Macaca fascicularis: one gene and its partners. The protein of the gene in region 2 interacts with the protein of the main gene of each other region in a pairwise test. Links are inferred from orthologs where the notes say so. Each region holds a gene or a part of one and is shown on either strand. Other genes may lie near its edges. The genes, in order: SNCA, PRKN and GPR37.

Evidence for each region.
Region 1: the proteins of PRKN (region 2) and SNCA interact in binary tests that used the Homo sapiens proteins (3 or more experiments, as listed by UniProt). The link is inferred for Macaca fascicularis from reciprocal best matches to the Homo sapiens genes PRKN and SNCA.
Region 3: the proteins of PRKN (region 2) and GPR37 interact in a two-hybrid assay, tested with the Homo sapiens proteins (2 studies listed by BioGRID). The link is inferred for Macaca fascicularis from reciprocal best matches to the Homo sapiens genes PRKN and GPR37.

Annotation. Positions count from the first base shown.
Region 1 is NC_088379.1:95,361,127-95,371,499, reverse strand, and holds part of SNCA (alpha-synuclein), read left to right. Parts: intron 1-532; coding exon 533-574; intron 575-6,033; coding exon 6,034-6,176; intron 6,177-10,373. UniProt on the Homo sapiens protein: Neuronal protein that plays several roles in synaptic activity such as regulation of synaptic vesicle trafficking and subsequent neurotransmitter release.
Region 2 is NC_088378.1:8,399,030-8,410,198, forward strand, and holds the start of PRKN (E3 ubiquitin-protein ligase parkin), read left to right. Parts: upstream 1-5,491; 5' UTR 5,492-5,610; coding exon 5,611-5,617; intron 5,618-11,169. Other genes in the region: PACRG (parkin coregulated gene protein), read right to left, coding at 4,885-5,040. UniProt on the Homo sapiens protein: Functions within a multiprotein E3 ubiquitin ligase complex, catalyzing the covalent attachment of ubiquitin moieties onto substrate proteins. Substrates include SYT11 and VDAC1.
Region 3 is NC_088377.1:166,328,055-166,337,084, reverse strand, and holds the end of GPR37 (prosaposin receptor GPR37), read left to right. Parts: intron 1-2,797; coding exon 2,798-3,616; 3' UTR 3,617-4,585; downstream 4,586-9,030.

The DNA of each region.
Region 1 (10,373 bases), on a different chromosome or scaffold from region 2:
CTACTCGGGAGGCTGAGGCAGGAGAATGGCGTGAACCCGGGAGGCAGAGCTTGCAGTGAGCCGAGATCCGGCCACTGCACTCCAGCCTGGGCGACAGGGCGAGACTCCGTCTTAAAAAAAAAAAAAAAAGAAAGAAAGAGAGAGAGAGAAAAGAAAAAAGCTTCTACAGCTCTGATTTCAAAATTATCTTCCCACCAAGCCCCAGTGTAATCTCATTCTTTTTTCTCCTCTGTAAATTCGTATGTGATGTGGGAACAAAGGGGATAAAGTTATTATTTTGTGCTAAAATCTTAATTGGAGATGACCTCCTGTTAGCTTGGCTTTCTTCTATTTATTGTGGTGGTTACTGAAGTTCCTTCTTTTAGATTTAGGATATATATATATATATATTTTTTTTTTTTTTTTCCCTGAAGATGTAATAATCTATAGACTTCTGAAGACTGAGTTTTTAAATTAGTTGTGTTGAAAACTAGCTAATCAGCAATTTAAGGCTAGTTTGAGACTTATGTCTTGAATGTGTTCGTTTTTGTAGGCTCCAAAACCAAGGAGGGAGTGGTGCACGGTGTGGCAACAGGTAAGCTCCACTGGGCTTAGATCCAAAGACGATGAAGTATCTAGTGATTAGTGTGGCCCAGTATTCAGCATTCCGAATGACACTATAAAACAATCACTGAGCATTCTAAGAGCATATCAGTCTTATTCAAACTGAATTATTTATAGAGTATTTTTAAATAGGTAAATATCGATTATAAATAAATAAAAAATATAGTTACTTGCCAAGAATAATGATGGCTTTGAATTGATAAGCTATGTTTAATTTATAGTAATTGGGCATTCAAATATTCTGACCAAAAATGTATTGACAAACTGCTGACAAAAATACAATGTGAAATAGCCATTATTTTTTTTTAAATAGAGTAAAATTTCTGTTGATTACGATAAAATATTTTGACCTTAAGTTACATTGATTATAATATTTCTTTGATAATTCAGAGTACGTTTCAGGAAACACCCTTGGACAGTCAGTAAATTGTTTATTGTATTTATATTTGTATTGTTATGGTATAGCTATTTGTACTGATATTATTGTGCAATTATCATATTTCTGATTATATAATTCATTTGGCCTAAATTTACCAAAAATTTGAATAAGTCAATTAGGTCTACAATCAAGAAATATCAAAAATGATGAAAATGATGATAATCATCATCAGATGATGAGGAAGATGAGGATGAGAGTGCCAGAAATAGAAAAATCAAAAGGGAACCAAAATTTACAAATTAAAAGCCCATAGACTTGCTGTAATTAAGTTTCCTGTTGTAAGTACTCCACATTTCCTGGCAGGTGTGGTGAAACAAAAGATATAATCAGAAATATAATTTATATGAAAATTAAATTATAGCATTAAACACAATAGTGCCTATAAAAACAAAATGTTCCTATCAATGACTTCTAAAATGGAAAGGAGAAAAATGATATGGGAATCTTAATACAGTGCTGTGGTTAGGACTAAAAACACAGGAGTCAGTTCTTCTTGGTTCAACTTGTTACTTACTCTTTACCAGCTGTGTGGTTTTTTTTGCAAGAGTCTTCACCTCTGTATGATTTAGCTTCCTCGTCTATAAAATAATTCATTGAATTAGTGTACACAAAGCATCTGGAAAACAAAAAGCAAACAATATATATATTTATAAGTGTTACTTCTTGCTTTACAGTGAACTTTCTTGTGCAACATTTTTACAACTAGCGTAGAAAAATATTTTTTAAATGAATACTTTTGATTTAAAAATGGGAGTGTAAAAATAAAGCAGACTCCTTTGAAACTAGTTCTGTTAGAAGTTAATTATGCACCTTTAATGGGCTCTGTTGCAATCCAACAGAGAACTAGATAAGTAAATGGACTATGTTGCCTTCTAGGGACCTCCTATAAATATGATATTGTGAAGCATTATTATAATAATAACTAGATAGCAGACAGGTGGAGACTCTACTATCTGAAGAGGGTCAGTCTAGATGAATGGTGTTCCATTTAGTAGTTGAGGAAGAACCCATGAGGTTTAGAAAGCAGAAGGCCATGTACCAAGTTTTGGAGTCAGTGGTAAAAATTTTAAAAACCCAACTACTACTGTCACCTAATGATCTAATGGAGACTGGAGATGGACTGCATTTTTTCAGTCTTCTCCAGAATGCCAAAATGTAAACACATCTCTCTCTCTCTCTCTCTCTCTCTCTCTCTCTTTCTCTCTCTCTCTCTCTCTCTCTCTCTCTCTCTCTCTCTGTGTGTATGAGAGAGAGAGAGAGACTGAAGTTTGTACAATTAAACAACATTTTATAAAATGTTTTCTAAAGGACAGTGGCCCACAATCCTAAGTTTCCAACATTGTACAATGTTGGGAGATTCTGCATATTTTATTTTCTCTTTGGTATATTAAGGAATCTGAGATGTCCTACAGTAAAGAAATTTGCATTACATAGTTAAAATCAAGGTTATTCAAACTTTTTGATTATTGAAACCTTTCTCCATTAGTTATTAGGGTTGAATGAAACTAGTGTTCTACAGAAAACTATGGGAAATGTTGCTAAGCAGTAACGACATGGTGATTTCAGCATGGGCAATATTTACAACCATTACACCCATGAACCACCCTGGCAGTAGTGAAGTACCAAAAATGCTGTCATAACTAGTATGGCTATGAGAAACACATTGGGATAAATCAGCTGCTATCATAATCATTCCTCTCCCACATCAGATAAATGAATTAATTTTTTGAATAGGGTTATTTAATATAAAGTTCTTAAGTCTAATTATGAGAAGAAATAAGACAATTACTTCAGTGGTTAAAGAGAGAATAATTTGCATATTTTACCTGATGTAAAATGTTTGCTATGGGTACATATTAAGTGCTAACTAATTGTTAATTGTTCTTGTTACAAGTCTTAATGCAGGGAAACAAGAAACTATTACATAGTACCTAATATTAACTTCTAATATTAAATAAACAATTTCCCCCAAATTCATCCCATTAGATTTCTTTTCAAGGGGGCGGGGGAGAAATATAGACTTCAGTAAACTTGGGCTGGGAGCTTTCTACCTACAAAGTTCAAGGAAAACAAATTATCCTAGTTAGATAATATCAATGAAAAATCCACCAACTTAAATCCTAGCTCTTTGATCTCGGGAAATTATTTCAGTTATCAACTTAATGCATCATATATGAAAATGTATTTAATTAAACTTACTGAATGATATGTTTTTAAGGTACTTTAAAAATAAACTATGATATAAAGTTACTTATTTTTCATGCAAGTGTAGTATAAAGAAATTTCTGACACTGGAGATTTTCTGAAGGTTTTGATTCTTGTAAATTTATTACATCATAATGAACAAAACTAATTTTCAACATGTTATGATCTAAATTTCCTTAGTAAATTGTTTTAAATTTATTTTCTTTAAATCTATCATTTGTATAACAATTCAAAACTAGATATTCTTAATTTTATAATTTTGTTTAATGTCAAAGATTAGATTTTGCTATATCTATTCTAAAAGTTGGTATCACATTTCCTTTTTGGATTTTTATTTTTAACTTAGTTAAAGTCAAATATAAACCTATTACTTATATTAATGCAGATATTAGAGAGAGATACTAAATTCATTTTAGTATATTCTAAATTATTTATCTACTATAAAATAATATAAAGAAAAATAAAGTAGAATCCCTGATTTCAAAAAACTCAGTTGCTGAAAAACAAATACCATTTGCTAGACTCAAAATGTACTAATATGAGTATGTCTCTTTTCCTTTTGTTTTGTCACTGTTCGTTTGGAATGTCAGTGAGTAGAGAAATAGTGTGGAAGGCCCTCGGGGGAAAAATAGAGGTTCAAGGTCAGCAGAGACCCTACTAGAGAAACCAGTTCTACAGAAATGTTTTTAAATGTGTCGATGATTGCTACCTGTATACTCTGTTATTTTGTCATGTAACCATTTTATTTATTATTATAATAATAAAAGAGTGAAATTATAATAATGTGCAGAGTACATTTTACTGTGCAGTGTATTGCATTAAAACTAGATTAAAATTTATACATCTATAAAAGGTTATCTAGATATTATAAAATTTATGGCTGGATCTGTAAAAAATTCAAAACCTATTTTTAATCTTGCTTCAAGATTTTATAACAAGAAAATGTTCATTTGAAGCAAAATTTTCAATTCTCGTCCTTGAAAACGAAAAAAATGACAACTTGAAACACATAATTGACTATTTTTAAAGGATCAACATTTCAGAAATGTTTTAAAACATAAAATTTTCAGTACAGCTTTTCACTGGCATTTAAATCGAACTTTGAATTGTAAATAGCTCTTACTCTTAAGGAGACATCAGCCATATCCTTAGAAATGGCACGGAGTTGGTAGGTAGTTGTACAAAATTCTAGCCTAAAAGACAAGTAGGGAGCAACAATACTGTGGACCCTTTCTGGTCTTGGGCTGTGTGGCTATGTCAGGCTTCCCCACATTGCCTGAACTAAGGAGAAAGCCTCTTGTCCTTACAGGCCCCTTAGCTTCTGTGACTTACATAGTCTATTTGAAAATGAATTGCTTTGTCCACACCATTTAACTATTGGCTTCTTCAACTGGTGAGATGAAACCTATACAATAATCATGTGACTAGCACGAAAGAGCTGACATGGTGTAACTCCTCTCAGACTGAGGCTTATCTGGGGAGTACAAATCATATCAAGAAAATGTGCCTTCATTTCCTTAGATGAGTGTCCCCATCCTCCACTCTCCTCCACTGTTCTCCTCTCTGCTTCTATGATACCAACTTTTTTTTTTTTTCTTTAGATTCCACATGAGTGAGATTATGTTGTGTTTGCCTTTCTGTTTCTGGCTTATTTCACTGAACAAGAAAATTTTTGACATGAAATTAAATTTCTGCCTATAAACTCAATTCAAACTGTTTACACTGTCTTCTCAAAAATGTTAACTTATTGTAATAAACCTACTGAATGACCGTATCACATTTTGTTTTGTGAAAACGAATTTTAAGGGTGCTCAATAGCCTCTTCATTTTCATACTGTCCAGCTCCTTTGCTCCTATTAAAATTACTGCAAGTTAGCTTTTAAGAACCCTATGTTTCACTACCTGAAGTTCTATAAAAAGATCCAAGTTCCTTCAAAACCATTTCTTATGCTGTCATTCATACATATGTGATAATACCGTGTCTGAACACACAGATAAGAAGTATGGGCTGGGTGCGGTGGGTCATGCCTGTAGTCCCAGCACTTTGGGAGGCCGAGGCAGGTGAACCACCTGAGGTTAGGAGTTCGAGACCAGCCTGGCCAACATGGTGAAACCCTGTTTCTACTAAAAATACAAAAAAAATTAGCCAGGCATGGTTATGGGCACCTGTAATCCCAGCTACTCAGGAGACTGCGGCAGGAGAATAGCTTGAACTCAGGAGGTGGGGATTGCAGTGAGCTGAGATTGTGCCATTGCACTCCAGCCTGGGCAACAAGAGTGAAACTCTATCTCAAATGAATGAATGAATGAATGAATGAATGAATGAATGAATGAATGAATAAATAAATAAATACAAGTATGTATTGTGTTGTTTAGAATGTGTGGTGGAAATGAACTTGCTGAGTGAGCTCAAAGGATTGGCACTGAATTGAAATAAAGAAATACTCATGTTGAGTCTGGTTCAACTATAACTGCACCTGTAAGAATTGCTTTCCTTAGTATAAAACAAATCCAAATCACTCATGGCTTTACATTCTGGATCATTAAACTTGAAGCACTTTTTAATACTGCATGACTTTAACAAAAATATCTTAGCCGAGATTCAATGTTTGGTTGAGCCACGCTCACTTGGACACCTTGGTTGCTTGTTTCTTCTGACCCCTCAGTTGTCTATGGCATGTGTAGATACAGGTGTATGGAAGTCGATGGCTAGTGGAAGTGGAATGATTTTAAGTCACTGTTATTCCACCACCCTTTAATCTGTTGTTGCTCTTGATTTGTACCAGTGGCTGAGAAGACCAAAGAGCAAGTGACAAATGTTGGAGGAGCGGTGGTGACGGGTGTGACAGCAGTAGCCCAGAAGACAGTGGAGGGAGCAGGGAACATTGCAGCAGCCACTGGCTTCATCAAAAAGGACCAGTTGGGCAAGGTACGGTGTGTACATTTTGTGCTACATTTATAAGCTGGTGAGATTATGGTTCATTTTCATGTGAGGCCTGGAGGCAGGAGCAGGACACTTACTGTGAGGAACAGCTACCTGACCCTCCCCTTGTGAAAATGTGCTACCTTTATATTGGTCTTGCTTGTTTCAGGCATTAACCCAGATAAATGCCATGCAAATTTTATAATTATCATGATTGTTTCAATTTCTAGAAGAAAGTTAATGAAATAAAAAATGTAGCAAAATGTCAAAGGAACAGTGACATTTCAAAAAGAATGAGGACTTTCATGTTAACTATAAGTCTTGGAATTTCTCTTCCTTGGAATAACAAATCTCTTTGTGCCTAATTTCTTAATTTCCAAAATAAAATTCTTTTACTTGATTTCTTTATAGTGACATCATCTCTTATTAAATGGCATATTTGCATATTACATAACAGTTCATTGCCAAATACATGTTTGTGAGAACTAAGAGGTTTAAAATATATACCAACCAGAGATCATAGTTTTGAGGTAGATTTTAAAATTCTGAGAAGAATTTTGACTGAATTTTTTTGACAAACATGGGGCACAAATAAGATTATACCAAAGATACTATAACTTTCATTTTAAATATGAAACTAATACGGTATGAGGTGTCAACAATGATGAAATTTTACAAATGTCACCACTACAACAGCAAAATGATTTTTGCTTTTTCCCTGTCTCCTTGCTATTTCTTGAATAAATCAAGCATACCCTTGCCCTGACACATTACTGGGGAGGCCTGCCTTAATCTATATAAAATTGGAGCCATTCTTCTCACCTCTGGTATTCTCAGTCTCCCTACTCTTTCTTTCTCCTTCCTTCCTACCTTCCTTCCTTCCTTCCTTCTTCCTTCCTTTTTCTTTCTTTCTTTTTTCCTTCCTTCCTTCCTTCTTCCTTCTCTCTTTTCCTTCCTTCCTTTCTTTCTCTTTCTTTCTTTCTTTCTTCCTTCCTTCCTTCCTTCCTTCCTTCCTTCCTTCCTTCCTTCCTTCCTTTCTTTCTTTCTTTCTTTCTTTCTTTCTTTCTTTCTTTCTCTTTCTTCCTTCCTTCCTTCCTTCCTTCCTCTTTCTCTTTCCCTTCCTTCCTTCTTTCCTTCCTTCCTTCCTTCCTTCCTTTGTTTTTCTTTCTTTCTTTGCCAAAGTGTTCTTCACCTTTAAATATAATAAATAATTTGCTTACTTTAATGTATTTTTTAAATTTTATTTCTCCCTTCTATTATGTAGGCACCATGAGAGTGAAATATATTTATTTTGTTCACTGATATTTCACAAGTGTCTGGGAGAGTTTCCAACTTAGAGTAGACAATTAGCATATGTTTATTAAGAAGGGAAGAAAGGAAGGAAATAAGTGAGTAAGCAGAACAACTTTTATTCATGGGTCTTTTATAATCATATCCTTAGTATAAGAACAGTGCTATTCAGTTATCCAAAAGTTAAAATCAAAATGATTTTGGATGAATCTCTTCAAAATTGTGAGAAAGAAGTTTTATTTGCTGGCAAACTATTCTGGGTTGTTTCCACTTCATGTAATACTAAGTAGCAGCCTTACCTTGATAGCCCATTAAAACACTGATAATAAAAAGGCAGAACAAAAATATCTGTGATATATTTAGATTTACTACATGAAGTTACATGTCTAGTGTCTGGTGCAATGGATGTAATTATGGCAAATCCTGACTGGGCTTCTAGTGAAGTTCTTCAGCTAATGCTTGAATGCATGGTTGGTCATGGTGATACCCTTTTGTACAAAATATGCTTTTCAAATAATCTTATTAGGGATAATAATTATATTAATTCCTGGTTTCCACCTAAAATTATAATTCTATTTATAGCTCTGTAAGATTTCACAAGTTAAGAGGGACCTCAGATTAAAATAGTACACAGGCAATTAACCAGTTTTGTGTCTCAGACCCTTTTCACAATCTAATAGAAGCTATGGACCCTCTTAGCTTCAGAAAAATGTGTCCTCACATACACACATCAAAGGGCTTAATGGGAAGTCCACTGACAGACCCTCTGTTCAGATCAATCTTCTGATTGTACAGATGAGGAAACTGAAATCAACAGAGGAAGTGGGTAGTCCAAGATTGTACAGTCATTTGGAATAGACTGGACACCAATAGTACTTTTCCAGCCACTATATCACTTCCCCAAGCATTTCCTCAAAACTTACCTTCCTTTGGGTCTTTATACATTCAGTTATGGACAACTAGATTTAACTAGAGAATTTTATTGCTTCAGAATATTAAGCAACAGGGAAACATGTACCATCCTTTCTTTATTCACCTGCATTTAACGCATACAATATAAATTGCAAATGAAGCATGAAAGTGCTTAATCTTTTACAAAACTGGGTTTGCTTTCCACCCATCTAAAAATACTGCTATTTATTTTAATATTTAAAGCAGAAATCTAAATGATGTGACAAAATTAATCATTTGGAGATATTTCCCTTATAGGTACTAGAGTATCTTATTGATTTCTAATATGAAAATGAAGTCATAAAACCTAGAAATTGCAGCATAGTTGTGGAAATAAACATTGGACTGAGAGTGAAAATGGCTAGTCTTCATCTCTGCTCATACACCACCTGACTGGATAACCTTTTGCAGATCTCCTAAAAGTCTTTCTCATATAATGAGGAAGCTCTACTAGAAAATTGTTGAAGTCTAATTTAGCAATAAAGTTCTGAGTTTCTAAAATAATTCAGAGAGTACTCTAATAAACGTCTGCAATTGTGGCCACATCTATGGGATGCTAAAAAGTCTGGATAGTTTCAATGAAAGTATTTAATTTGTTCATTATGATATTTGAAATAATTTATTTCATTTTTTAAACTCTGATCAAAATGACCCTGGCAACTAGAAATAAGCAAAATCTTTTTGCTTGAAATGCTTATTAATGACCACATTGAGACACTCATTCATCATTCAAGAAAGAATGTTTACTCACACTGTGCCAGAAACTTGGAGGAAGAGGGATGTGACAATTAGGGATACCAGATGTCTAGCTTGTAGAAGTGGATTAATGGCCGTACTTTAAGATCAGGAACACTGAAAGGGAGTAATGGCACCGGTTTTAACCTTTCATGCCCTTTGAGGGTATTTGGCCCATCACCCTCTAGTTGATGAGGGGGAAATTTTCCTCTCCCTTCACAAATATGGGGAAATTAAATTACGTAATTCTGAACAACCAATAAATCAAGAGTAAATCAAAGAAGATACCTGTTTTGTGAATTTGATCATATGAATATAGCTGCCCTTATTAATAATTTCTGAGTATAAGACTAGTTAAAGGACAAATGAGTTATCTTGAATTATAAGAATTTGTTTTACAGAACAATATTAACTCTTGTGTTTAGAATTAGAATTAGAATAGAATTAGAATTAGAATAATAGATCTTTTGATCTATATTTTACTCATGTACACATAAGAAGTTATCAGTCATATAATTCATTTCTTGAAGTTCATACCTTTTATTGGCAGAGTAAAAACAGGTTAAAAGTGCACTGGCAGAAATTTTAAGTGCAAAGCAACAGTGATGTTATATAGAGAAAATTTATATTTCCTACTTCTATTGAGGAAGAAACATCTGCTTGTTCTAAGAATATTGTACAAAGAAAGTGACTTGGATCAGCATTATTCTGTGGTGCTACTACGTGTGCAGTGTGGAGCTGGCCACCAGAACACTTGGTCTATCCCAGCTCCTCAACAGTGTCTTGCATGTGGCTGGTGCTCAAATAAATCCTTGCTGAACTAATGAGCATTTCTTTCATGCCACATGGAATGCTCTAAAAGAGTTGGGTCCTGAAGTTTTTATATTTTTATAATTTTCTGGAGTTTTAGAGAGCAAAAGGCCTAAATAAACTGTGAAGCCACTGCCTGACAAATAATACAGCAGTCAGCTTCATTATCGTATCCCATTTAGACACTGACTTATCTACATGATGATTAGTAGTTTTCATGCAAGAAATAAGCTTGAAATATCTGTTGCCTCAGGTACTGAAAACATCCAGGTTCAGCAATGTTATTTATTGTTGTTCAAAATCAGAATGAAGTTCCTAAACAATGCCATTTTGAGCCGGGCGCGGTGGCTCACGCCTGTAATCCCAGCACTTTGGGAGGCCGAGGCGGGCGGATCACAAGGTCAGGAGATCGAGACC
Region 2 (11,169 bases):
ATAAAGGATAACTTTCTATGTGGGTGACAGGAAGGGAGAACGAAAGAAGTCTTCTTAAAGCAGCTGGCATTTTGCTGGCCATAAAAATATAAGCTTCTTGACAGCATGTGTTCTGTCTTTTGCTGACTGCTAAATTCCTAGCATTTAAAACAGTGCTTTGCACATAGTCTATGATCAATAGATATGTGTTACCTGACGAATGAATTTGTATATGCAGATATACAAGAATGAATTTGTATATGCAGATATGTAGGGAGAAGGGTGTTCGAGCAAAGGGAACAACATAAACAGAAACACAAAAATAAAGAATCCGATTTACTTCCTGGGTTCAGATTGACTGAAGTAAACGAGAACAGTGGGAGATGAAATTTAAAAACGTAGAATGGGATTAGATCACAGAAGATCTTGCTGGTCCTGGGGAAGTATCATGCCTTTTTTCTATAAGAATTGGGAAGCTCCAAAAGCTCTGAATAGTGATAGGAGCAGAACATTGTACTGGAAAGATTAGTGTAATTGTACCGATAATTGATTGAGGGAGTTAACCAATTGATGGGTGGATGATATTGTACAAACCTAGACAAAAGGTGATGAGGGCCCCCATTAGTTTATCGCCACTTGGTCCCTTCATCATTAGTACTTCTCTACCAGAGACATCTGTTTATTTGTATTGTAATTATTTTACTTGTCTCTCTCCTTTTCTTCACCAATAATGTAGCACATTTAGCACTGGAGTTAGACACTTCTAATTATCCCCCAATATCCCTTGGCTACAGTAATAAAACATTGCAAGTTTGAGCTGGACATAGAGCTACCAGTTAAAGACTACATGTCGCAGCCTCTCTTGCAACTAGCTGTGGCCATAAGACTAGGTTTTGGCAGGATTTGAGCAGGAGTGAGGATTGCTGTTTCTGGGACATGCCTTCATAATGAAGCTGTTTGCTCTTCAGTTCTTCTTGCCTCATTCTTGCAGATTGCTCCATACCCATTTTTCTCTCCCCTACCTGAAGTAGGTGTTGGAGACGATGCCCTTTTGGAACTACATAGCTTCCTTCATCCCTTTCCTGAGGAGAGAGGTATGTGGGCTTGGGTGTTACTTCATGGGTCAAGCTTTCACAGGATTTTGCAAAACGGGAAAATGTAGGTGTATTACTAGGTTCTGGCCAGTTGGATGACAATGAAAGTGGGGTGCTGTGTCCGGGTCATGCCTATAATGGGAAGCTCTCTGCTTCCACTTTCCTCCTTCTTGAGGGCAGGTATTTGACCCTAGTGGTCTCAAGCCCACCTTGTCTCAGGTGTCATTTTACAGGATACAAAGAACAAACATGTTCCTATGTCCCTGCACCCGCCTCACGGGGAAATACTGCCCAACCTCCTGGGATTACCTACAAACTTGAACTTCTATTATGAGAGAAACAACTTCCATTTTAATTAAGCTATTGTTATTTGGTCTCTGTTACAGCAGCCAAATTAATATCTTAATATAGAATGTATAAATATTGATGATTACCACTACATGTTAAATAAGAACATGATTGGACGCACTATACATGTAAAGTACAGGTTGAACTATCCCTTATCTGAAATGCTTCGGACCAGAAGTGTTTTGGATTGGTTTTTGTTTTTTGTTCAAATTTGGAATACAGTCGTCCCTCAGTCTCCATGAGGAATTACTTCCAGGACCTCCTGCAGATACCAAAATCTGCTGATGCTCAAGTCCCTGATATAACATGGCATAGTATTTGTATATAACCTACACATTTCCACCCGTATACTTTAAATCATGTCTATATTACTTATAGTATCTAAAACAACATAAACTCTATATAAATAGCTGCTATGCTCTATTGTTTAACAGGGAATAATGACTAAAAAAAAAAAAAGTCTGTACATGTTCAATACAGATAAAATTTTTGTCCTAAACATTTCAATCCAAGGTTAGTTGAATCCACGGAGGCAGAATCTGTACAAAGAGCTGAGTATATCTGTATTATACACTGGTGGTCATGCCAATTCTGAAAATCTGAAATCCAAAATGCTTGAAAGAGAGTTTTCTTTGAGTGTAATGTCAGCACTCAAAAAGTTTTGTATTTTGGACCATTTCAGGTTTCAGACTTTTGGAATAGGAATACTCAACCTTTAATATTAAAAAAATATGTATTTATTCCATTCCCCTAAACTTTGAGCATAAAGCATCTATAGTCTATTGAGAAGGAAAGCTGTAATAGAAAGCTTAGGCTAAACTCAACTTCCCTGTCACCATAAACCTGGGTCAATTTTCTAATTTGCTTCATGATAAGCATGTTCAGCACAGAAAGCATCTGACAAGATGAAGACAACAAAATGCTTGGTTAATAGTTTCTGGTCATAGGCTCTATCGCAACCCAAATAAAGCCTTTAAAAGGAAAATGAACTTTGAAATCTTCAAATTGTGTATCTCTTACATCTCTTTATAGGCAAGCACTATAAAAATGTGAATTTGAATATTATTTGATGGCAGGGCTTTTGTGATGCTTGTTTTCTTATAGAATGCAACAAAAATTTCATGGAAACAAAGTCTACTTTCTATTGAAGAACAATACTTGACATTGAGATTTTAAAAATTTTGCCATTTACATTTATCATTATTTTTCAATAATTTTGCGCTCTCATATCCAGACTGACTGTTTAAATAAGCATTTCTGCCTGCACAGCCCATTTGATGAAACATATTTATGATCAAGTTTATGTACTTGTATCACTATTGCACTCAAAGAAATATCAGGAGTCTCTGTGTAACTCCTTAGGATATATAAAATTCTTCATGTTTTAAGTGGAAGAGCATTGGAATGGTGACTTATCTAACTGGAAAAGTGGTTTGGAGGGTATTGGCCTTTGAGCATGAGGTCGCAATTAAGAAAAGCTGGAAATTGTCATACATATCCTGAATCGAAATACACCTTCAGAAAGAGATGAGGATATTTTGATCTTATAATGCTGAAAAGTCTATACTGCTAAAGATAAAAATGGTGAAATGTAAATATTGGTTATGAAATGGAAAATTTTTATTTCTTGTACCACTGAAGTTATTTTGTATAAACAGTATTGTCTAGCTTTCTTTTATCAAGATTTGAATGTTGTTATTTTGGTTTACCTTGGAGTACTAAGGGCAGGGACTTTGCTTTGCTGATCCCAAATCCCCAGAACTGTGCTTAACAAGTATTGGGTATTAAAAAAAGAGAGAGAGAGAGTTGTTGACTGAATAAGTAGATGAATGGATAAATAATCTTTGCATTTAAGAATTATGATTTCCAATGGCAAGAGAAGTATTGCTAGCACAAGATTTTCCTTTAGAATATAAAAAGATAAGATAATGTATCACAAATAAGTTCTTTATAAAGAAGCCTGCTTCATAATCAATGTGGTTCTTTTAAAGTCATGTAGGCATATTTACTACATCTGGCAATATAGAAACATTAGATTTTGCAGAACTATCTCTTTAGGCGTAGGATTATATTAAAGAATTAACATGATACAAGAATTATGAACACAAGTTTAGGAAATAACAGAAAAGAACCCTGACCAGTAAAAAAAAAAAATTGTGATATTCAATTATAACATTAAAAAACACCAAAATTGTAAATATTGTGTAGAAGAAAACTAAATTATTAACTTGAATGGTTATGGTATTGCTGATAAATGCATCATCTTGACTCCTAGGAGAACCAATTTATGTGAAATTCCATGAAAAAGAATTAGTTACAACAAGCAGAATTTTAGTCTATTTCCAAGAATTTTAACTACTGTAAATCACCTGACACACTTCTCAATAATTAGGATATCATTTTGCATAACCACATGGGAACCTGGCCTAGAGGTCTATAGGTAATCTGTTTCATTCATGTATTTTAAGTATGTCATTTAGGAATAAGTTATTAGGTTTACAACATATAAGCAAAGGAAATAATGTGACACTGGAAAACAACATTACTCATTTAACATAATGAATTGCCACATGTAATAACTCAGATCTTCCCAGGGTGTAAATTATATGAATTTGAAAGCTGCATTTATTATTTAATGCCTCATTCCCAGACAGGTGCTTACTCAGTAGCAAAATCTGCCTTAGCATACCAAGTGTAAAGCTATGTAACAAATAGGAAGGTTTAAAAAATAGATACTATCATGCAGACAGCTAAAATATTTGTATGTATTTTTAATCTTTTTTTCCTCTAATGATACTTAGAATATTTTATTTTTGTTACTACAAATAATGCAGATGAAATATGAATTGTATTAGTAGCAGAGACACATGAGCTAAAGCTTGTATTGTTTAAAGCACATCATCTTAAAAGGCCTGTCAGGAAACAGTGTTCATATTAAGTGGGCTTTCAGTACTCTAACAAGATGACATCATTTTCTAAGAGACAAGTGTTGTTAGAGTAACTGCTAGGATATTCCAAAATTTCTCATTATAGATTATTTAATGAGTTTATGTTCCCAGTTGTATATCAGCTCATGTTAAATTTTGCAAGAGTTTATGATTTCTAAGAGCTCATCTTCTGTAAGGCCCTTTGCTGAGTGGGGTTAGTTAGCAATCAGTAATTAAAGGGGATCTTTTTACCTCGTGTAAATAGCGTAAGAGTAATTTTGGGCGGTTTAGAAACGATGAGTTATCAGGAAGGTGCTTATCAATGGGCAGAGTATATCATTTGCCCAGGATTCTAACAACCTAGCCTGCCCCCCACACACTGTGGGGGACCGTCTGCTACTTGCCAAGTAATTGCCATTTTTGGCAAAGACCACCCAGGACATGGGCTCAGAGTCCATCCTAGGGCTGGCCAACCTCTGTAAATCTCGTGTCCCCTGATACGGAGCGAGTGCATTCAATTCAGGAAGATCACTTACGACTGAGTTTTTCATCATGGCTTTGACTGTGAAGCCCTCAGAAACCAGGGAGTGAGGCTGGTGCACCGGGAGCGGCTGTTGTGCCAGCAGCTTGGTCCTCTTCGGCATCTTGTCTGGGCATTTGTTTAAGCTCAGGGTCTCTTTTTCTGCCACCATCTTCCTAGAAAATGTCTTGTTCTCATAAAAAGTGTAGTAAAAGAATCAGTGGGTTTTACGGATGTGAGCAGGAGGTCGGGAAAAAAATGTCAAAAGGCGCGTTAATGGTAGAAATTCAACCCCTCGTAGTGCCCAGGTTGATCCAGATGTTTGGCAGCTCCTAGGTGAAGGGAGTTTAGGGGAGGGGTGGGGCGGGAAGAGGGCAGGACCGTAGCTAGAGCTGCAACAAGCTTCCAAAGGTAAGCCTCCCGGTTGCTAAGCGACTGGTCAACACTGCGGGCGCATAGCTCCGCCCCTCGGTGACGTACGATTGCTGGGCCTGAAGCCGGAAAGGGAGGCGGCGGTGAGCTGGAGGGCAGGAGGCGTGAGGAGAAACTACGCATTAAAACTACGACTCCCAGCAGGCCCTGGGCCGCGTACCCTCCGCGCGTGCGCATTCCTAGGGCCCGGCGCCGGGGCGGGGAGCCCTGGAAGATTTAACCCAGGAGAGCCGCTGGTGGGAGGCGCTGGCTGGCGCCGGTGCGCGCGTAGGCCCTTTCCTGGCCCGCAGCCGCCACCTGCCCAGTGACCATGATAGGTACGTGGGTACCTGCCAGGTACAGCCTCATCTGCGCCGCCCTGCGCCCCGGTGTGGCCTCGGCCGACCTGGACCCCAGGTGCCAACTGTCAGTGACGGGGCCAAAGTGCCCATGCCGTACCCGGCCCGCACCGCCGGGCTCTCCAGCTCAGCGACGCGGGCCCGGGGCCCCAGTGTGTGCGTTCCAAGCCCTCGCCCGCCCGCCCCTGCTCTGAGCGTTCCCGTGAAGACCGCCTCACCGGGGACGCCAGGCGGCCCCGCACCCCCGGTCCTCGCTCATGGTCCCCCGGACCGTGTAGGGTCCCGAAGCCTTCGCCCCGCCGCCGCCCCTCGCCCTCGAGGCCCTGGCCAGTTGTCGTGCGGTTCAGGACCCATCGAGACCCACTCTTTGTGGGGCTCTTTCAGGAAACCCCAGCAAAGCATTAAACTCTAATGGAAGGCACCTGGTGAGGGTGGCTGGGCGCCACAGAAACTCCTCCAGATGAATCTAAACTTCTTGCTCCCTCGGATGTTTCCTTTTAAACTTCTCGTTGGAGGGCTGAGGTGAAAGAAAAATTGAGAGTAAATAATAGCCAAGATTACATCTACTGCCTTTTGCAATATAACTTTTTTTTTTTTTTTTTTTTTTGGTAAAACACAATGACCGAGGTGCAATTTTGTGAACAAAACTTAGTGGCATCAGAGTTGTTCATGAACACTTGATGTGTAAGATGAGCAAAGGTGCAAAGGTCCTCTTCCAGGGTTGTTGAACCAAAAACTACTTTAGGGGCTGTCCCTAAAAATGAATGGAAATGCACCATATGTTTAGAAGCCAGTGCTATATGGGGTTTCATTATTGTGGAAGTTTCTCCAGGTTATGTATGGAGGGTTTAGTGAGCTTGTTTAGGGCTAATTCCTGAGGAGCGTCCCTTACAAAACACTTTTGATTGCAGTAAGTACGTTCGAAGTCAGATGTGGTCTGTCCAGAAGTAAGGTGAGAGGTGGATTCATAAAATATATGATCTTTATGCACTGAAAACACGTACTACATCTGTTTTTATTTATGAAGTTATTGTTAAAATGTAAACATTCTGCCCATCAGTGGGAGAATCAAGCCAGCTAACTGGCATTGTCTTTGTCTCTGTGGTAAAACAAGAATGTTGTTCAGCCTTCCCTTTCTAGCATGGTCTGACTTTTGGTGAATGACTTGAAAGTTAACCAAATTATGAAAAAGTTATAATTTTTTGAGTTTTCTTGAGCTCTTTTTAGGTGACATTTACGTAAGATTCACTTGTAAGCACAAGTCTGAACTGAATCAGAAAACCAAGTAGAAGAGATTTTCCAAAATCCGTGCTATCAGTAGTCTACAGGAAGAAAATAGCCTATACCTTATTTTGAAGACAGTTAAATACATTTTATTTTAATTTAACTTAATCTAGTGCACAGATAATTTTAAGAGAAACAAATTTATTGTAAAGCTATATGAAGACAGGCACTTAAGATCTGGGATTGGAGGCGTAAGCCACCACGCCCAGCCTCATTAGCCACATTTCAGTAAACATCTGAATGGCCAGTTTGAGATTTGGGTGTGGTGAACAGTGCTAAAGGTAGGTGAAAGTGAAAACCATTAAAAGGAAGCCTTGGAGTGATGGATTTTGTGTTTTTGTGACAAAAATTCAGAGCGAGGAAAGACATTATAGATTTTATCCAGTGATCAGTTGGAGATCAAAATGTAAATAGTATGTATCTGGGATTTTCTGTTAAAGGTAAGAGTGCTTCTCAAAGCTTGCTCCTTTCAGGCCTATGCTTTCTCTGTTACACTCACCTTGTTGCGGGATTCAGGAGGACGAGAGAGACCTCGGGTTGAAACAGGAGAATCTTGATCGAGTGCACTCAGGCCCAGCTGACTCACATGCAATAGACTGGGCCCAGAATAAAGACAGTACTTGACTTTTATACACACTTCACAAAAGGAGGTGGGCTAGCTTGAAGCAAACTTACGGTGGTGGCAAAGCAGGGATACAGAGGCAGGACAAAGGCAGGACTGCACATGGCCATCGCCAAGCAACCCAGATGTTCGTTATCTAGGTTTCCCTGGGCACAGGCTTATCCTATAACCTTCACTATGGTGCCCAGGCAGCTGTAGTTCAGGCCTACTCAGGCTTCTCATGACCTTCGTTGTGCTTCTTAGATAAAACAGAATACTTGAAATCACTAGTTACAGAGAACAAGAGTCTATAAACTGATTCCATAAAACAAAGGAAAATTTGTTTTTCTTCTCCCTGTGTTGAGGGAGTGCTGGGAGAGTCTCCAGAGCACATTCGATAATATTAGCAAGACTCTTCCTGGATCTGGGCTGTGCTGTTGCTGCCTCTGGGACAAGTTAGCCTAAAACAGGAAAACTTATTTCTTTTTCTTTTTAATTTTATTTTTCTTTAATTTCCCGCCCCAACCTTAATGCAAATAATATTCTGCCAGTTGGAGAAACGTAAAGATGGGTTTCCTGGTAGAAGAGGAGTAAACAAGACTGACTGCGACCTAACTGCTAGTGGAATGTGCCTTCCTTTTACTTTCTCAAAACCAAAGATTCCCTTCTTGGGATGAGGACTGTTTCATAAGTCCTTACATTTCCCACCTGGATTGCGATTGATATGTTGAATGCCCTGACCTGGGCAGCTATGGAAACGTAATTTAATTGAAGTCGGTTAAAAATTGTGCCTTTGTGGAAGGTGTGGAGAAGGACTTCAAGATAATATAAAGCAGAATAGAAAAGCTTAAAAGAATTCAACGTAGAAAAGTGTAATTTTTGGTATCTCTATTAAAAATATATTTTGACTTTGTAAAAAATGATCAGTTTTTTGTATTTAAAATGGAATGTTAGTGGTGATAATTTGTGGTATGTTCTAAATGTTCTGTAGAACTGGATTTAGGTATTTGAGTAACAGCAGATATTAGAGTGCTTGGTTATATATACACCAATGTTGTCAGTATTGAAATACACATTCAGTGTCTTATACTTTTAAGAAGATTTTTGATTGACAAAAACCATTCATTGGAACATAGTCTCTTCTATACCTTGTTTCACTTAGCATCTCTTTGAGAATTTACATATCTGCATGTACAGATTCACTCCACAGCAGTTCCTGCCTAGTGTTTTATAGGATACACTAATGAAAATATTTACCAACAAATAAGCACTCATCAGGTTTACAGACGACTGTTATCAGAAATGTTTGTGGACATATCTTTTTACTTGCACATGTAAGCATATATGTAAAAGAGAAATCGTATGACAATTTGAGTTAAAGAGTTTGCAGATTTAAAATATTCCTAGGTATTTCAAAATTTTTCTAAAATAAGTTGCCCTATTTTACAAAGCTATCTAAAGCCTCCACGAATACAACATGGTAGTAAAGAGCTGCCCTGCCCCTCTGGCCTGAAAATTACCAAAAGACGTCCTTCCCGAGACTGACTCAGCTTTCACTAGCAGAACACCTCCTAGATCTCCAGTCCCCACCTCTCTCTCACCCTAGGTGTAGTGCCTTTCAGTGTACAAGCTGCACAACTGTCCTTGGTGGCCCTGCCCTCCCTTTCAGTGTGTATAAGGGTGCCCATTTCCTCCCATGTGCCATCAAAGATTTTTTATTTTTGCCCTCTTGACAGATGAAAAACAGCATCTTTTAACTTTGCAAATTAATTTAGAAGAAAACTTCCCATTTTCATCTTATAATGCGTTAGTTTCACAAAAGCAGATGCGGTGATTTCAGCACCTGCTGTGTACCCTTAACTGCTCTAGGTGCCAGGGAAACGAGGGAACAGAGCAGAAAAAGTCCCTTGCCATCAGGAATGTGCATTCTGACTTCACCATTTGCCCATATATCTGCATGTTTGTTTTCAAGCGTGTGTGCAGTGAATTTTAAAGTCTCAATTTATATTTCTAGTTGAATATTCTGTGTACTACTCTTTGCCCTGCCATTTTAATAAGTTGATGAAAAGCAGCTCTATGCCTAAGTACCCCAAAGCTTCTGTTTATGATGAGGTAAAATTGTGTCAAAAATAGGCTCTAATAAAGTTTTGCATAGAAGATTTTATGTAATTATATAATAGTTTTTCCTTGAGTCGGTCCAAAAGCTCTAAAATGACCCTTTGTCCTTTACAGTTTTGGCCCTATTTCTGAGGATATTTTTGAAGTCTGCATTTTTTGAAACCTCATAGTTTCATTGCCTGAAAATGATACAATGAAAGTACTTTGTATTAAGATATGTAAATCCATTCCTACCTCCAAAGCTTTTTTGAAAGATGCAGGAAAAAAAAAAGAGTTCTTACTTCGAAATGCTTCATATTCCTGAGAGCAGTTTTAATGCAAAAAACTTTATTCTGTTAGCTTTTAGTTCTTTGATCAATGAAAATTGCTTCTTACCTACTGTTTCTTCAGCCTTTAATTGTAGCCCAGTGCTTATTCAATGTTTCTGTTTTCATTTGCATTTAATGAGCTCATTTTAAATGTTTCTTTGTAGTAATCTGAATGGTTTCTCTCCCTAAATTTTGTAACATTAAAGAAAGAGACTCATGTGACAGTTGGCTGATTTATGTTACAGCTTCCCTCCCTGGCTGATTTACTTCATCCTGTAGGATAGAATCTTGGTTCAAAGGAAATACAGTAGCAGGATTCTTTCCCCCAGTAATTTCCTAATTACCTAGGACTCTAACAGATTCACTCAAATGTCTGTTTTTCACCAAATAGAAACCTTTTTTCCTTGGATGAATAGGTATTTAAATTTATGATTATTCAGTGTCATTTCTTTATACCATATGTATTAGGTGGTGCTGGGTAGGGGTGGGTACACACAGGTTGTATATATCTATATATTGCCTATGGGGAAGGCACATACAAATGACCATTTCTTCCCAATGAGTTTATGGCCTAGTTGGGCTGATTAGGCTTACATTAGTGGTATAGATTCCACCTTCACCACTGCAGCAGAAGAGTAATTAGAAAGATGTATGTATGTATCAGCACACACATATGTGCCTGCAACATGTGATTTTTTATGTTTCTTTTGCTCATGTGATTCTCTTCGAATGCCCTTTCTTTCTGTTGTATGTCTGAAAACTACTGTTCATTATTTAAGATCCAATTCCAATGGCACCAACTTCATATGAAATTTTATGTGTCACCTTCTCACCCTCTTTTCAGTGTGGGGCAATTAACACCTCCTTTACAGTCAGCCAAGATATTAGCAACTACCCTTCATCAGGTTCTTGTTCATAGTCTAGAAGGGGTACAGAAAAGTAAAGATTTACAAACCTGAAAGGTGGGTATCATGATACAGGTTTATACAAGGGAGAACTGGAAAGCTCAGCCTATTGAGCGTAGAAGATCCAATTATTTCCCAGTGGAGCCATTCCAGTTGTCCTGCAGGACAAGTAGGAGTTAACTAGGTGAAGGAGGCCTTCTAGACAGGCATGGAGGGGAGAGAAGAGAATGGAATGAAAGGTATCTGGTGAGGCTGGCAGGCACACCAGATAAGCTTTGTCAAGGAGGTGGGTTTAAAGTTGGTGATAGGGAGGAG
Region 3 (9,030 bases), on a different chromosome or scaffold from region 2:
TGATCCGCCCGTCTCGGCCTCCCAAAGTGCTGGGATTACAGGCTTGAGCCACCGCGCCCGGCAATTGCTGACATTTTAAAACATAATCATAAGACAGTTGTACAATGTGGACTTCAATTTTAGAATTATTCTGTGCCTCCAGCATAGATGCAAAACAAATTTTCATCAATGTGAACAATTTTTAGTTTGAAAGTTAATTATTAAAAGGTGAAAGTGGAGTTTTTTTTTTTTTTTTTCAGTTGAAGTCATATTAGGTTGATGTTAACCTTAAAAGTTTGGAGAATAAGAATTGTGGTGATAAGTCCAGTCATGCCTCTTTATCTGCACTGATCTAGAGCTTTGCTAGCCACATTTTTTTCATTTTTGCTTTTAATATAGTTAACATCTCATTATACCTCATTTTCAGACTGTCTCCACTAATAGTTATGAGAGTAGTCAGGGCGTACATACAATGTCCTTATTTTCCGTATTAGAACTAGTAGACACCGTCTGATATGTAGCGTACAAGGAGAAAATATTTGACATTGGAACTGTCGAAATCCACAAGGCAACTTGCCATAGCTCTGGGGAGAGTGACAGCTTGAATGTAGTAGATAAACAACTAATGTTTTGAGTACTAAAACTGTATGACAAATGGTTCCCCTTTTGTCAACATCATCCCTTTGACTTTTAAAAAATTAGATGTTAACATTATACTTACATTTCCCCTGCCCCTTTGCCAGGGAATGGCCTATATCATGCTGCTTAAACCTTCCTACCAACAGGCAGGGGAGAGCAAATGCATATATTCGAGTTGTCTGGGGTGTAGACCAAAGCATTCCATCCACCCAGGGAGTTTTCTTTTAGTCTCATATTTTATCTGAAACCTTATTGACATTTTACCTTTTACTCCTTGTTCTTGTTTGAATGCATAGATAATGACTACACTTATTATATATTAAATTACTTCAATTTTCCCCCAAATATTGAAGTGGCTTTAATATTGCCAGGTGATTGCTGTGTTCATGTTGTAACTTTGAGAACCATCGTCCCCATCTTGGTTGACTATGATGTGCTTGAGGGAAGTCACTGCTTCTTGTAGCTTTCTATTTTCTCGACACCAAGCATAGTGCTCGGCATGGAGTTGATATCAATAAATGGATGCTTGTGTTGGATATGTATCTGTTTGCCCCATTTGAGTACATGTACAATGCTTAATACATGTTTTATAAGTAAATGAAATGATAGCATGCTTACATTAAGAACATGTGTTTATATTCCTGGAAAGCCTCCATGTGAAAAAAAATAGGTACATATTTTTGGTTCTTAACCTTTAAATGTTGACTTTTTTAGATGTCTGGACCATATGCTTACAAGAACAGTGCCTTTTTGAAGACAGTTTTTCATTTGGTTATTGTCAAAGAGTTTTCTGCTCCAAAATTTTCCTGTGTTTGAGATATCTAGACATTCTTTTTGGCTACTTTCTGCATATTTTCCTGTATTTTTACAGGTTCTATTTTCTTTGATTTTCTGAAGTATCTCCTATTTCTTTAAATTTGATATACATACCTATTTTATGATAAATATATTTTTTATGTCTGATTCTGTATCTCTGGCATATAAATTCATAGTGGCTAATTGTCTCTTGCATATTGTGACTTTTGATTTTGTGAACCTGTGTCCCTTGAATTTTAACTATAGGATTTTTTGAGGTCTGGTTTTAAAGTACATTCTTCCAGAGAGGATTTGTTTGATTTTTACCAGGTGCCTGGGATTATTTTAAATTGTATTTTGGGTTTTCTGAGCCACATAGATCCTGGAAATTCTGATCCTAACACCATGTAAGTTCAGGCTCCTGGTTAGAATTTGCCATTTTTTGCCTCCTTTCCCCCCAGTTCATCCAGACCCAAATCCTGTCATATAGGCAGATTTCTTCATTATCTCCTTACACCTCTTAAGATGTCAGCATTTGAGGAGTTCCAAATTCACAGGGAGTCTTTGACCCAATCCCCACCCACATTGGCCCCAGCTCTGTTTCCTGCCCCTGTGTACCTGGGCATCTTGCCCCATTTTTCTAGCTAAAACTAACTTGAAGCCCTCACCAGGACGGGCAGGTGCCCCTAAGGTAAACAGGCAGCATGAACAGGGAGGAGTCTCTGGCCTGTTTGAAATTTGTTTCCTTTTTGATTTTGGCCTCTGGCGAATTTCCCTTTCTTGTTTTCTGTAAGTGTATGCCTTTGAAGATAATACTGTCATACTTTATTTTGCATTTAGGAAAAATTGGAGGAGCCCTCTCATCATTTAGTCCATCGGAGACAATAAACTCTTTGGTATTTGCTGTGTGTAAGGCACACTACTGACCCTCACACTGGAAAACATGAGAATCCTGGTCAGCAATGAAAATGGGAATTTCTGCACTACCCTGACTCCTTATCTAGCTCTCCTAGTGGCAGACACTTTCGTGGTGAATAAGATTTTTAGTGTATCTGGGTTCTTATCTATAATAAAAAGGGATTGGACTAGCTGATCTTTATGGATCCTTCCAGTCCTAAATGTTTTGCACTCTATGACCCTCAACCCACTACAGTTTGTTTTCTATTTTTATGCTTACAATGATTCAGCTGATGTCCTGAGCCCAGTTACCCATGCCTCATTCTGGAAAACTGTTCTCTCTCTCTTATTTTTATTTATTTATCTTTTTTTTTTTTTTTTTTTTTTTTTTTTTTTTTTTTACGGTTTTGCCAGTCTGCATTTATTCCCTAGTGCTTTGATCTTTCAGGGGACACTGGGAATAAATGTCTTCTCTGTTCCCCCACAGGTCGCTTCTCTGGGAGTCACCACTTTCACCTTATGTGCTCTGTGCATAGACCGTTTCCGTGCTGCCACCAACGTACAGATGTACTATGAAATGATCGAAAACTGTTCCTCAACAACTGCCAAACTGGCTGTCATATGGGTGGGAGCTCTACTGTTAGCACTTCCAGAAGTTGTTCTCCGCCAGCTGAGCAAGGAGGATTTGGGGTTTAGTGGCCGAGCTCCAGCAGAAAGGTGCATTATTAAGATCTCTCCTGATTTACCGGACACCATCTATGTTCTAGCCCTCACCTACGACAGTGCGAGACTCTGGTGGTATTTTGGCTGTTACTTTTGTTTGCCCACACTTTTCACCATCACCTGCTCTCTAGTGACTGCGAGGAAAATCCGCAAAGCAGAGAAAGCCTGTACCCGAGGGAATAAGCGGCAGATTCAACTAGAGAGCCAGATGAACTGTACGGTAGTGGCACTGACCATTTTATATGGATTTTGCATTATTCCTGAAAATATCTGCAACATTGTTACTGCCTACATGGCTACAGGGGTTTCGCAGCAGACAATGGACCTCCTAAATATCATCAGCCAGTTCCTTTTGTTCTTTAAGTCCTGTGTCACCCCAGTCCTCCTTTTCTGTCTCTGCAAACCCTTCAGTCGGGCCTTCATGGAGTGCTGCTGCTGTTGCTGTGAGGAATGCATTCAGAAGTCTTCAACGGTGACCAGTGATGACAATGACAACGAGTACACCACAGAACTCGAACTCTCGCCTTTCAGTACCATACGCCGTGAAATGTCCACTTTTGCTTCTGTCGGAACTCATTGCTGAAGGACGGTACTTGGTTGGGTCAGATTTATTTGTTTGATTTTCATATCCCGTGAAAGTTTTTAATTCATATTTTTCCTTACAGGGAAAAATGCAAAAAAGAAACAATAAAGAAAGAAATATTAACTACTGTAGAACTGATTTTGCAAATTAATATTTGTGCTTTGAAAAAAAGTTTCTATTTAGTTATTTAAGAAGAATGAGAAGGCCAATAGTTTTAGATCATTTTATCTGGTATGGTGCTAATATTTTATTTGAAAAAAGTTACTGCAACTTAACTTAAAATTGCTAACGTTTTTTCTTCTTTTAAAAATACAATTATTGTATATTGATTATAGCCATGTGATTTTGTAGGTTATTTTATATTTGAGTTGTGATTGAAAGTATGTTGTATAAGGTATTGTGAGATGATTTGTACTTGGAAACATTCACAAAGTAGCACCAAATAAATTACACTTTATTCTTTAATGTCATTGTCAATCTACTTTTAACCAATATTCAATAAATCTTCTAATTGCCTTAAAGATACAATTACTGGTTCCATGCACAATTTAAAACTGGCCTTACTGTTTTATAACCTATTTTCTTTTAAGGCAGGTAATCATTATGTCATAAAGAAGTTTTTCTAATAGCAGTATTTTATATGCATGATTCATAAAACTATGTTGTATGTTAAAACAAAGCTGTATTTTTAATATTCAGGTATAGATGTCAAGTTACTTCTGAATACTTATAAAATATGAATAAATAGCAGAGTAGGAAGAAAGTTTATTTTTTAAAAAATTTGCCTTTGAACTAGCACATAGAGCTACAGGTTTTCCCTTGAGGAATTCTGGGCAGAATCAAGAGTTTTAAAATGCAGTTGTCATCTGATTGCCTCTGAACACTGACCTTTGAAGCTTTGTGAATCCTACGTATAGCACTCTGAATTCTAATTTTTCTCCTTTTGAAAAATAAACTTGATGAAATCTATACAACTTAATTTCTTTAAGTGCAATGAAAGTATAGGAGTGGAATAATAAAATATATATTTTTATTAGAACATTCAAATACTACCTTTAACTTGATACTTCATAAACTCTGAATAAAAACCTAACCTCCTCCAATGGGAATATTTGAATCCCCTCTTTTGCCTCTTCGGGAGTTTGAAGTGCAACAATTGTGTAGGATGCTTGCTGTGTGGGAACATGTCTAACTCAGATGGCAGAGGCCATGACCTAGTGACACAGTCATATTTAAAAGCTACCAGAGAAGAGATGTGTAGTTGAATGCTTTTGTCTTCAGAAAAATCTTATTTTAGGGGAAGCCAGTTTTCTTGCTGGGAAAACGTATTTTCTGCTTGTTGATTTCTGTTCTACTCAGCACAAGTAAGTCAGTATTCCTTTTTCCAAATTATAACGTGATGTTATTTAAAAATCATTAAAGAGATTGGTGCAGGTGAAACTCGAGTTAACTAAATGGGAATGTTCAGGCTATCTCCTTTTTCCCCGTCCAATACTTTTCAAAGGGATTTCCCCCTCCATTGTGTGTATCCTGTGGGATCTGCAGGAGAATTAAAACAAGGCACCCTTGTCTTCTTATAGATCCCTGTAATACATCTTTGGAAAATTTCTCAAGAGGACATCTGAGTTAGGTTTTGGTTGCTGAGCAGGTCAGCAGTTGTGATTCCATAGTCTCTCTCTTGTCAGTCACTTTTATAAATCAAGGAACAATAGAGCATGTCATGTAGAAAAGATTCCATCCTATTACCTGAGTAACGAAAGGTAAGTAGGTCACAGCCTCAGACCTTACAAAATCAGGTAGGGATGACATGGATGGGAAGGAATAAAATAAAAACATAGACAACTATGATATAAGCTGGGGCTTGTTAGGTGCCTCAGGAAGGTGTGAAGTTCTGTGATAGTTCGGAGCAGAGGGAACACTTGTCGGATTAAAAGAGAGCGTGAAAGGCTTTATGAGATAAGTGGATGGGTGAGCTTTTAGAAGGAGCTGATTGATGAAAGATTGTGTGAGGAGTAGACACCTCAGGAGGAGAAAGGTAACTTATGAAGGAATAGAGGAAGAAATCACTGGGAGTGATTGAAGAATAAACAGCCCAGTTTGACTTCTGTGCTACGCGTGCATAGAAACCTTGCGGAAAATATTAATGAAAATATGCACTAAGGCCTCTAGTAAAAGGGCCATGTTTTGAAAGATGTTTAGATGTTGGTGCTTCGGGAAATGGGGCTTTGCTTTTAAGGTTTTTGAGTATGGAGAAATAGTATCGCAACTCTGCATAGGAAGATTAACTTGCAAACAGTTTAAATAGGCTGGTAGGGGACAGTCTGAACATGAAAAAGCAACTAGGAAGCTATTATAAGAGATTGAACCACAATGGAGGCAGCGGGAACTTAAATTTCTTTTTTCATTTATACTTACCTTTCAACTTTTTGTAGTTGCAACATGTACTTTCTTATTGAATCCTACCTCTGTCAAAGTGGAAACTTTAATAACTCAAAACAAATTGTCCCAAGTATAAAGTGATTTCAAAGTTTTCTCATAGTCTTGCGTTTTTCACAAAAACCAATTTCTATAACATACTTTAAAAAAATTGTTAATCATTTCTGTTCAACATTTCTCCAGTCTAGATCCTAATCCAGTGTCTTCCGCTCCTCATTAAACAACAACAACAACAAAAAGAAACTCACAGCTAAGATTAAGTTCAGTAAAATTTTGATTAATCAGAAAATGCTAGGAATGGTATTTTGGTTACTTAACAGGAACACTTTTGTGGTTTCAGGGTAGTCAATGAAAATATTTTCAAAATCTGTGTCTATATCTATAACTGGATATTATAATTAACTCAATTTAACATTTATTTGATTCGCAATTTTGAAGCCTTTGAATGTATGACTTCAAGCAGTAAGAAAGATGGAGTGATGGTGAGAAGATAAAGGTGAAGTGGTGCTCAGAGGGATTAGTGGTTGAGAGGGAAGAAGGTAGGAAGAAGAGCTTCACAGAGGAAGGATCAAATCCTTATTGTTCCAGTTTATAGATGTAAGTAATTTACTGAAATCTAAGAAAATGCTGATACGTATTTTAAAAACTATATCCCTATGTCTTTTTTTTCCTCATCAGTTCCTTATTTCTCATAAAAGTAAAATTAGAATAAAAGATCCATTTCTTCAAGAATTATGGTGAGATAGATTTTAGTGTGTTATATAAAGTAGCAAGTGATACTGAGTGCAGGGCATTTTAAGTAACAGCTCTTTCATTATATCTCAGCTAATTTATTCAACAATTATTGAATGAACACTATTATATGTTAAGCACCATTGTAGGTGCATGTGATATAGCTGTGAACTAATCACCAAGAAGCTTTGCCCTCTCTTGTTGAGACAGATAGACACTATAAATAAGGAGAATGCATAGTATATAGTTTTTAGAATACATAGTATTTTTGGTAGTGGAAATTACCACAGAGGAAAGGAGTAACAGGGTAAGGTGAGGTTATGAAGAAGACCTTATTGCTAATATGACATTCAATTAAGACTTGAAAAGAGCAATCAAGTCTTGTAGCAACTGGGGGAAAAAGCAGGTTCTGAGGTAGGAATATGTCTGATAGGTTTCAGGAATGTAAAGCAGCTACTGAAGCTGGGAAAGAAGGAAGAGGAAGAGAAGTAGCGGATGAGATCAGAGAGCTAAAGGGAGGCCATGTAAACTATTGTAATGACTGCTTTTTATTCCAAGTAACACGCCACTGGAGGGTTTTAGATGAAGTGATCTGATTATTTTCAAACCAACAATTTCATTTATTTTAATATTACCATATAGTTAATACACCGTAAATTCACTCCTGTTAGCACACAGTCCTGAGCGTGCACAGTTGTGTAACCACTACAAAGTATAAAACAGTCTCATTATTTCAGAAAATCTTCCCATCCCCCTTTGTAGCCAACTTTATTCCATTTTTTTTATTGTTATAGAATGTCATATAAATGGAATTGTATCGTACGTAGCATTTCCATCTGGATTCTTTCAGTAGCAGAGTACATTGGATGTTCATCCATGTTGTGTGTATCAGTAGTTAGTCTCTTTCTATTGCTGAACAGTATTCCATTGTATGAATGTAGCACTGTGTGTTTATGCACTTCTTTCTCAGTTGAGGGACATTTGCATTGTTTTGAACTTGGTGATTATTAATAAAGCCACTAGAAATGTCCACATATAGATATTTATGTGAATACAAATGTTCATGCTTGTTTGGTAAACAGCTAGGAGTGAGAATTTTAGGTGATATCGTAAGTATATTTTGTAACTTTATAAGAAACTGCCAACTGTTTGCTAAAGTTGCTATACCATTTTGCATTCCCACCCGCAAACTATATTGTCAATAGTCCTTGTCAATAGTCCTTGGTATTGCCAGTTTTCTTTTTTTTTAAGTTTTAACCACTGTAATATGCATGCAGTGGTATCTCATTGTGGTTTTTGCCCTTCTCTACTCAATTTTATTTTTTTTAAAGAGGCTAACCAATAGAGAAGTTGAAAGACAAGAACAATGCATGCATGTTTACTATTTACCTAAAGTAAGCCACCATTTACTATGTTTTCACACTTGTTTATTATTTTCTCCAATTTTTTTCTCACCATTTGAAAAAGTTATAGGTTACAGGCATTATTGATGTTTTCACCATAAACACTTCAGCATGCTACCTCTTAAGAACAAGAATATTTTCCTACTTAACACAATATCATCATCAGGGCCAATAAATTAAACATGAAACAGTATTATTCCCTAATGGATAGTTCATTTTCAAATTTCCCAAATTATTCCCAATAATATTCATTATGGAGTTTCCCTTATAGAAGGGCTTTCCCTGCCCATTTTCCTCCTGCCTTTTTTAATTGCTAATTTGGATTATCACCAATTGTCTTAGTTGGGGATCCCTCAAAAGCCAAAGTTGGAGAGAAAATGATTTGGGGGTCAGTGATTTATTTGCTCTTTCTTTCCTGACTGCTTTGATAGATATTAGTCTGTAGTTTATTTACTTGTTTTTTACTTGTGAGGTCTTTCTCTGGCTCTGGTGTCTTAGTGTCACTGGCCTCATAGAGTGAGTTGAGAAACGGTCCTTTCTTGATTTTCTGAAAGAATTTTTGAAGGATTGCTATTATTTCTTCTTAAATAGTTAGTAGTATTTATGAGTAAAATCATTTCAGTTGGGGATTTTATTTATAGAAAGATTTCAAATTATGAATTCAATTTTATTACCCCTTGTAGGTATTACTTGCATCTTCAATTTTTTCATGAGTTGGTTTTGGTAATTTGTGCTTTTATACGAATTTGCCAATTTCATCTAAGTTATCTAATGTATTAGAATAAAGTCATTAATAACATTCTCTTACGTAATAGATAATTTTGAGTGTCAACTTGCCTGGGT